Oryctolagus cuniculus: one gene and its partner. The protein of the gene in region 1 interacts with the protein of each later gene in a biochemical or structural test. Links are inferred from orthologs where the notes say so. Each region holds a gene or a part of one and is shown on either strand. Other genes may lie near its edges. The genes, in order: SMARCA5 and POLE3.

The links.
Region 2: the proteins of SMARCA5 (region 1) and POLE3 form a complex in vitro, tested with the Homo sapiens proteins (2 studies listed by BioGRID). The link is inferred for Oryctolagus cuniculus from reciprocal best matches to the Homo sapiens genes SMARCA5 and POLE3.

What each region holds. Positions count from the first base shown.
Region 1 is NC_091439.1:21,029,890-21,034,297, forward strand, and holds the start of SMARCA5 (SWI/SNF-related matrix-associated actin-dependent regulator of chromatin subfamily A member 5), read right to left. Parts: upstream 2,937-4,408; 5' UTR 2,429-2,936; coding exon 2,255-2,428; intron 1-2,254. UniProt on the Homo sapiens protein: ATPase that possesses intrinsic ATP-dependent nucleosome-remodeling activity.
Region 2 is NC_091432.1:216,998,532-217,002,846, forward strand, and holds POLE3 (DNA polymerase epsilon subunit 3), read right to left. Parts: upstream 2,842-4,315; 5' UTR 2,767-2,841; coding exon 2,701-2,766; intron 2,601-2,700; coding exon 2,515-2,600; intron 2,212-2,514; coding exon 2,093-2,211; intron 1,498-2,092; coding exon 1,325-1,497; 3' UTR 1,294-1,324; exon of another isoform or gene 839-1,293; 3' UTR 90-838; downstream 1-89. Other genes in the region: C1H9orf43 (uncharacterized protein C9orf43 homolog), read left to right, coding at 4,178-4,260. UniProt on the Homo sapiens protein: Accessory component of the DNA polymerase epsilon complex. Participates in DNA repair and in chromosomal DNA replication.

The DNA of each region.
Region 1 (4,408 bases):
CTCTACCACTTAACTAAATCTTTAAAAAAAAAGGGGGGGAGGGGGAATGATGAATAAAAACCCCATACTGTCAATACTGTCAATATGAGAGTAATAACCAAAAAATGAGATTGTTCCTTTAGCTCATCAGTACCAAGATAAAAGGAAAAACTGAATACAAAGGAAAGGTTGGATAATGTTTCTGAAAAACCAGCTCTATCAAAAAAAAAACCCTGAAAAATACCTGGGATTATTTTCTTAAATTCTACTTTCAAACAAGAAAAAGGCACAGCCGGCGCCGCAGCTCACTAGGCTAGTCCTCTGCCTTGCGGCGCCGGCACACCAGGTTCTAGTCCCGGTCGGGGCGCCGGATTCTGTCCCGGTTGCCCCTCTTCCAGGCCAGCTCTCTGCTGTGGCCAGGGAGTGCAGTGGAGGATGGCCCAAGTCCTTGGGCCCTGCACCCCATGGGAGACCAGGAGAAGTACCTGGCTCCTGCCATCGGATCAGCGCGGTGCGCCGGCCGCAGCGGCCATTGGAGGGTGAACCAACGGCAAAGGAAGACCTTTCTCTCTGTCTCTCTCTCTCATTGTCCACTCTGCCTGTCAAAAAAAAAAAAAAAAGGCACTTAAAAATATCTTTGTACCAACTGTGAGACTGGTTCAGGTGGTCAGATTATGCATGTGTGCTCAAACTGAGTTTAACAGTGAATCTCAGTAACTGCAAATTCAGTGAAGAGAGTATCTTCTCAAAGCCAAAACACTTAGTTTAGCCTTAACATTTACGCTCCTTTCTAATATTTAAGGAAGACCTCTAAAACTTTTGTTATGCCAAAGGTTTGAATGGCAGATTCTTTTGGAAAGCTAAGGGAAACTCTGAACATCTCTGTAGAGTATTGAACATTTACACACAATTGCTTTCAGTGCCACAGGCTTTCTCCTTAGGACACTGAGCAAGAATCCAAGTTAAACAGCATTGATAATCCAAAAGAACTACTCAAAACCCCAAGGGGTCGGGAGGTTTGAGAAGGCAACACTGAATTCATTTTAATTTGAAACAATCTCTATCACTGAAAACTAGAGAATATCAGAATTACTACTCTACTAACTGCTGTTCACAGTTCCTTTAAAAACGAGTGTGCTACTGCATCCTAGTTGCCTAAACAAAACTACTGTGCCAAATACCTCAAAGGTGAACTGCACCAGCATTTCCTTATTGCGGTAGTTCTCCATCAAAGCTCAGTTTTAGAAGTTACTTACTTCTATTCTATCTAGAGATTTAAAAAAATTCCCAGAAGTCTTCCTTCCGGCTGGAACTACAAAATGTTTCAAAACAGGGCGAAGGCCAAAAATAAAAACTGGAAGGAGCAATCTCTTTATTCCCAGCCATCACAGCGCCTAGGAACAGACCCAAGAGACCAAGCTGGCAGCGCCCCCATCTTTCCACCCCCACAGTACAGTCACCATCGCTTGGCCAACCCAACACCAGAAGGCTCAGCAAGCAAGCGAGGGTATCAACTTTGTTTTTAAAGACCAAAGCCCAAAAAGGGGGAAACGCACTGGTCTAAAAGCCACCCAACCACCCACCCACGGTTCTCCTAATCCATTCACCCGCCCATGCATCTCCCCAGATCAGATGAGGATTCAAGACAGCTGGCTGCTGCCGGGGTCGCTCCCCTCCCTCCGGAGCAGTGCCTGGGAGGGGCCTCCTTCCCCTACACAGAGGCAGCTGCGCCCCGCTCATCCCCACTGCGCACTCGGCCATCCAGCTCTCGCCATTGTCTGGGCCCAGGACAGATACCGCCCCCACCGGGACCGGGAAGAAAAAAAGCAGGCCCGAATCCTCGGATGCGCCGCTCGCAAACGACTTCCCCGCCCCACCCCCGTATCCCACTCCCAGGGGGCCTCTCCCTCGCCCTCCCCACAAAGTTTGGTGGAAACTAAAACCTAGATTCCTAGATAGGAGAGCCAGTTCTGGGAAAGCTTTTACAAAGGTAAATCCCCCTTCGGCCCCAGCAATCAAGCAGACCCGTTGTTATAAGAGCGCTGAAAGATGTGTTAAGATTTGCTAAAGAGACTGAGCATTTTAAACGTGGAGCGGCAGACGTCCAGTCCCCGCCGGCTCGGGTCTGCGTAGCACACGCGCAAAAAGTACGAGCATCCTTTCACAGGCTCCGAGGCCGAGTTCGGGTGCAGAGGAGTGAAGCGCGCCTCGGAGCTCCATCACTCGATCGCCTCCCGTGCCCCCGCGCCCGCCCCGCGCCACCAGCCGCCCTCACCTCCATGTCGGCGTCCGCGGAGCCCGCGCTGGCCGCAGACGCCGCCGCCTGCGCCGCGACGCCCTCGGGGCCGCCTTTGTTGCCGCTGTTGCTCCCGCTGCTGGCGGCGGAGGCTGCGGGCTTGGAAGGCGCGCTCTCAGGAGGCGGGGGTGGCGGAGGCTCGGCCGCCGACATGATGTTCCGTCTGCGTCAGCCGCTGCTGCCAGATCCCGGGCCGCCGGGGATGCAGGAGGCCTAGGCCTGGGCGGCTGCGTCGCACGCAACTGATGGAGGAGCGGGAGGCCCGCCCGACTGCTCGCCCGCGCCGCGGCTCTGTCGCCGGCCTGAGCCGGGCCCAGCAGCCTGCCCCCGAGTCGTGCTCCTCTTCCGCGGGACTCCGGGTTCGACCGGCGCTTACCTCACGGCGGGAATCACGTCGGCGAGGGTGGGCGGGGCCAGCCGGGTCACTGAGGTCAGGGGAGGCGGGCAGAGGAGGAGGAGGGCGGAGTGTGAGGGGAAGGGGAAAGGAAAGCGAAAGAGAGGCTGAGGCGGGGATCGCGCTCTGCTTCCTCCTCTTCCTCCTCTGGCAGATATCATCTAGCTCGCCAGCATCCAAGACTACTACGTACGCCACCGACTTTCAACCCTCGCGAGATTGCTAGTTGGTTCACCGGCTGGGTCCGGAGAGCGCATGCGCTGTCTCTCCAAGTCGCGCTCGGCCCCTCCTCTTTCGGACGTCTAGCGGGCTCTGGGGTGGAGGGTGGGCGGGGCCTCGAGGGATTGCTCGGAGACGTAGGTTTGTGCGTCGGCTCTTTGGTATGACGCAATCGCTCTCTCAACACGCGTTTTTAACGGCTCGCTTCCCCGGGCCGCCCTGGGTTCTGTGTCTGGCTCTGCGGCGGTCTCTCAGAACTTGCTCTGCCTGCTTTCACGCGGAGGCCTATGCTGGCCATCACCCACCTGCGGCTCCTGTTAGAGGTGTGACACCTCGGCCTTCACGACGTTTTGGTTTTCCCAAGTGATGCTCCATGGAAAAAACATGTTAGTTTTTTTTTTTGTTGTTTGTTTGTTTTTGTCGTCGCATGTTAGCTACGTCAATCATTCCTAAATATTGGCTGCTTCCCTTAGGTACAGAGTTAGATGGCATTGCTTCTGAATTTACATGGTGTAAGTTAAGCAGAGAAGTTAATGTGCACACATAGAGATGAGAAAGATGAAAAATCACTAGATGAACAATTGATCTTTTTTTTAAAAAAAGTTTCTTCACCAAGTAAAGTTGGTGTGGATGACTAAGAAGACGGTGTTTAGGGTGGTACCCTGTAAGCATTCTATTTAATATGTATATTGTTATGTAGAAAGAATATAGCATCTAGTCAGAATATTTCTTGTACTTTTTTTTTTTAAGAGTTAGTTGAAAAGCAGAGACACAGAGAGAGGTCATCTGTCTGCTGGTTCACTGCCCAAATGGCCCCAACTGCCAGAGCTGGGCCTGGTGAAGCTAGGAACCAGTAACTTCTTCCAGGTCTCCCACCTGGGTACAGGGGCCCAAGCACTTGGGCCATTTTCACTGCTTTCCCAGGCCATTAACAGGGAGCTGAATCAGAAGTGAGAAGCCAGGACTCAAATCGGTGCCAGCACTTTAAGTGGAGACTTAATCTGCTATGCCGTATCACCAGCCCCTTTCTTCCACTCTTTACAGTGTAAGGTAGAAAACTTGGGTCTGGGCTTGAAAAATCCTTAAAATTATATGTAATTATATAAATAGAAGGGTCTTAAGTCTGATAGCTACAGAAAACTGCAAAGAAAACAATGTCCTTGAATAAGAAAAAAAAAAACCTCTAAAATGGCTATTGTCTTTTAACATGTTAGTTTATATGTGAGTTTCTCATGTTGTGTAAGACTATCATTGGGAAAATATTAGAGAGGAAAAATACATAGGAGAAGCTAGAAAGAAGAGACAGAATGTTCAAATCCACTCAAAAGGGAAAAAGATTTTGAGAAGTCTAGAACTAGAGAAGAGGGGAGAGAAGCTACAGAAAAATACAGTGCCTAGAAACTAGGCTGAAGGGGCATTAGTTGTGTTAGGCAGATAGCAGTACTTACATGGAAACCAAATCACAAGGACCCTCTTTTTCTTCAAAGACTAAAACCAACAGCTAAGCATGATACAGAATT
Region 2 (4,315 bases), on another chromosome or scaffold:
ATCTGGCCCGGGGATCACACCCCAGACACTGTATGGGGACTTGATCAGTGGCTCCTCTCCAAAAGCACACGGGGAACACGCAGGCGTCATCTCTTCTAACAAGAACGTTCTTTATTCGTACAAAGCATTACAATCTTCTCAACAGCCATCACTCATTGAACGCCTCCCTGTGTTCATTTAACAAGTTGACAGTGTCAGACTACACTTCCCTACCTGTCAAACCCAAGCGCTCAACCTGCAAACAGAACAGTGCTTGTAGCACTGACCCAAAAGAGAGAAAGGCTCAGAGAGGCCAACAGGGGTGCTTTAGAAGCAGCTCGGGGGCACGGCTGGTGGGCCAGCCATTACATTCCTGAGCGCCATCTGACTGCCCTAAAGGGTTTGTATGACATTCTTTTTAAAAGCCGAGAGATTAGAACTAAGAAAGCAGAAGGACTTGCACTTTGGAATACTAAGCAGACTGTCAAAGTTCCCAGACTGGCAGGACTGAGAGAGAAAGTGGAAATGAGAAGAGCCACAGGAGCGGAGGGAGAGCTGTGCCTAGAGGGGAGACGGTCTGGAACTCTCCGTGAACTGAAGGAGGACGCTCAGGCCCCAGCCCGGGAGGCGGGCTTGGCCTCCAGCAGGTTCTCAAGTGCACATGGCGAAGGCAGTGAGGCGCCTGCTCCGTAAGACCCCGGCGTCCCTGCCTGCCTGCCTGTGGTCTCCACTGTTCAATCCGGAGCGCGTGAGCTCAGAGCGCGGCGCCCGGCCCGGCCCGCCCCAGGCAGGCTGCCTAAGGCACACAGATGAGCTCCAGGGTGAGCGGGTCTAACAGAATCCACTCCCACGGATGTTCCTGCCAAGGGGAGAGACAACAGAACAGATTTCTTTAATCCTCCAGTTCTCTTAGCAGTGTCCTAAAGCCAACCGCCTGACCACTTCACGGGTTTCCACGGCCACATCGTGTGCAAGGAAGCCCAGCTTTCTGGAGCCTCATGGCCTCTGAGACTTGGAACACAGCAGGCAGCAGGGGAATTACGACTCTCTTCAGGGGTAGGAGGACTGGGGGTCAAAACCTACCCAGCCATACATGTAAGCCAACACGAGAGATCACACTGACTAACGGAGCGAGCTGTTCAGTGACGACCGCCCGCTCAAGGAAGCGGCACAGGGCTGTGCCAGGCGGCTGCGCGGCGTCGGGAGCGCCGGTTCGGCTGGCGGCCTGCATCTGCTCCAGCACTCCAGCCCGGGGCAAAGCAGCGCACAAACACGGAGCCCACGGCCACCGCCCGCCTGCCTCCCGCCGCCCACCTGCCTCCCGAGGTCCAGACTCCCGCAGCACTCAGTTGTCAATCTCCTCCTCTTCATTCTGCTCTTCTTCCTCCAGCCTCTCCTCATCTTCATCGTTGTCCTCGTCCCTGCTCTTGTCCGGCTCTTCCGAATCCGCCTTTTTGTCTTTGTCTTTCTTCTTCTGTTCCGAAGCTTCCTTCTTGCCCCTCTGCTCCCGCCTATAGGCTGCAGGAAGAGGGGCGGGGTTAGGAGACAGGGCTGGGGGAGACAAGCGGGGACCGCAGCCGGCAGCATCACTGGACAGCTGGAAAAACCAAGGGACACGAGCAGAAAAGGACCTGGCGAGCAGCACCGAGAGGTCTCGGGTGGTGCCACTGAACTACGTCCGGTCACATCCGGTACTGGCTTTCTGGGCCACTCTTTCACAGTCCCAGGGCCACATCAACAGGTCACCCGTCTTCCATGTGGTTTGGGAAACAGAAGGGTACGGGCAGGCACTGGGGGCAGGGATTAAGGCGCAGCTCGGAACGCACGCATCCCATACCTGTACGGGAGTGCCTGGTTTGAGTCCTGGCTCCGCCACTTTAGAGCCAGCCTCCTGCCGGAACACCTTGGATGGCGCAAATACTTGGGGCCCTGCTCCCCACGTGGAAGACCCAGAGGAAGGGCAGGGGTCCGGCCCGGCCCGGCCCGGCCATAGCTAACCTGGGCATTTGGGGAGTGAACCGGAGGGCGGAAGATCTCGCTGTGTTTAACGATCTCTCTCTCTCTGCCTTCCAAATAAAGTGAAGAAGAAGAGAAGCCACGCGGGGGTCGTTACCTTCCAGGGCCTCCTTCAGCGGGGCGACGAACCTCTGGAACTCCATCTCCTCCATGGCGGACAGCACGTCGCTGGCATTCAGGGTCTTGCGTTTCCCTTTCATCGCGAAGTTGTTGGCACTGAAACAAAGCAAAAAGGGCTCTAAACGGCTGCCCCCTTCCCTCTTTAGGACGCGAAAAGGGGCACCCAGGGGTGGGAAGGGAGAACCCAGGCACATCTTGGCCGTACAGATGTTTGCGTAACCTGCGTAAACCCTGCCCTTGCCCGTACCTAAGTCTGCTGTTCGAACAGACCCGGGAAGACCCGGGAGGGGGGTTTACATGGGTCCCAGACCACAACTGCCAGCAGCGGTTCCCGGTGCCTCCCCCCCACCCTCCAGGCCTTAGACCCAGCCGGACGCCGGCTCGCTCTGTCCTGCTCACCACGATGTGGCGTACAGCACGAAGACGCTGGCGGCGCGTGAGATGGCGCTCCGGGCCTCCTTGGAGATGTTGACACCTTCCGGGAGCTGTGATGACGGCGGGAGTGAGCAAAGCCGCCGGCCCAGGACCTGCTTCCCTTCTGCCCGCTCGTCCGCCCCCGGCCCATCGCCAGCCCGAGCTGCTCACCGCCTCCTTGATGATCCTGGTGATTACGGCGTTGGGCAGGTTTAAGTCCTCGGGCCTCTCTGCCATGGCCGCGGTCGAGGCCTGAGTCTGAGCCTAGGGCCTCCTCCCCAGGTACCTCCAGCGTCCGGACTTCCCGCGCCGCTGCTGTCTGACCCTCCGAGGCTTCCGTTCCGCCTCACGTAGGCCGCACCGTGTCCCACAGTGCCCCGCGCCCCCAGCCTTCCTCCTACGCCAGCCCCGCCTCTCCACCTCAAGACGCTTTGCACCCGAACTTTTTGCGCTCGTAGCGGTTTTGGCTCGCTGGATCTTTCGGTCAGCGCCCACCGTACGCCGCACGTTCTTCCTCAGAAGAGTGTCTCTGCTTCACGCTCCCGCTACGTCCAGAGCTTTCGCCTCGAACTAAGTATGGCCCACGGAGGCTTCCGTCCGAGCCCCATCGTGCTCTGCGCCGTTGCTTGGCGACGGAGCGGCCTCGCGCCTCGCGTGGGAGACGGAGGCGTGGAGCCGAGGCGGCTGGGTGGGGCCCCTCCGGACGAGAGGCGGGGCCTGGTGAGCCATTACCGCCGAGCTCCTCGCCGGGCGGGGCTGCGTTGGGCCCCTGGATTTCGGGAACCCTCGGGGTTTCATCTTTGCCGTGGTCCCGAGGAGCCGGGACCCTGCGAGGCGGAACCGCTCCCTCCCGACAGCCACAGTGTTTTTCCTGTTCCAGAACGCAGCGGGGAATCTTTCTTCAGCCCAGCGCTTGCCGATGTCCATCCATCTTTCCGCCCCTCACGGCGCTGTGCTAATCCTTACCAAGGATAGGTGTTAGCTAGGCTTTTTTGGGGAGTTACCTTTTTTTTCCCTTGAGCTCTTGTTCACAGCGGGATGCGCCTGACCAGACTTAGAGGTTCATTTCGGGCTGGGCAGGAAAGGGCGGGAGCAGCCGCTTTTAAAATACTGCATCGTCCCATTTAAAACAGCCTTGTTAAAATTGCGTTTAGTTTTAGTTCATTACATTGTGTGTCGTACACCTTTCCCAGGCAAAATCATACCCAAGGGTTTCTTCTTCTTCCTCTTCCTCTTCTGTAATTAACAAATCTTTTTTATTTGGGAAGAGAGAGAGGAATCTTACATCAGGTTCAGTCCCCAGATGCTGGCCAATGGGTGGTGAGCCAGGTGGAAGCCAGGAGCCTAGAACTCAATCCAGGTCTCCCACGTGGATGGCCAGGACCCAACTACTTAAGATTTAGATATTTGATATATATATATGTGCATATATATATATATATATAAAAGAGAAAGCGAAGGAGATCTCCCATCTGCTGATTCACTCCTCAAATGGCTGTGCCCAGCTGGGCCAGGATGAAGCCAGGAGCCCCTACGTGGGTGCAGGGGCCCGAGCATTTGAGCCATCCTCAGCTGCTGTCCCAGGTACATTAGCAGGGAGCGGGATCAGAAGTGGAGCAGCCGGCACTGGAACCGGTACCCATATGGGATGCTGGCACTGCAGGTGGCGGCTTTCCCCACGACACTGCGGCTCCTGCAGTGGCACTTCAAGTTGTATTCCTTTCACATTAGGTATGTGGAAATTCTTACTGCCACTGAGAACTAATCCAGTTGTTTTTTTCCCCTT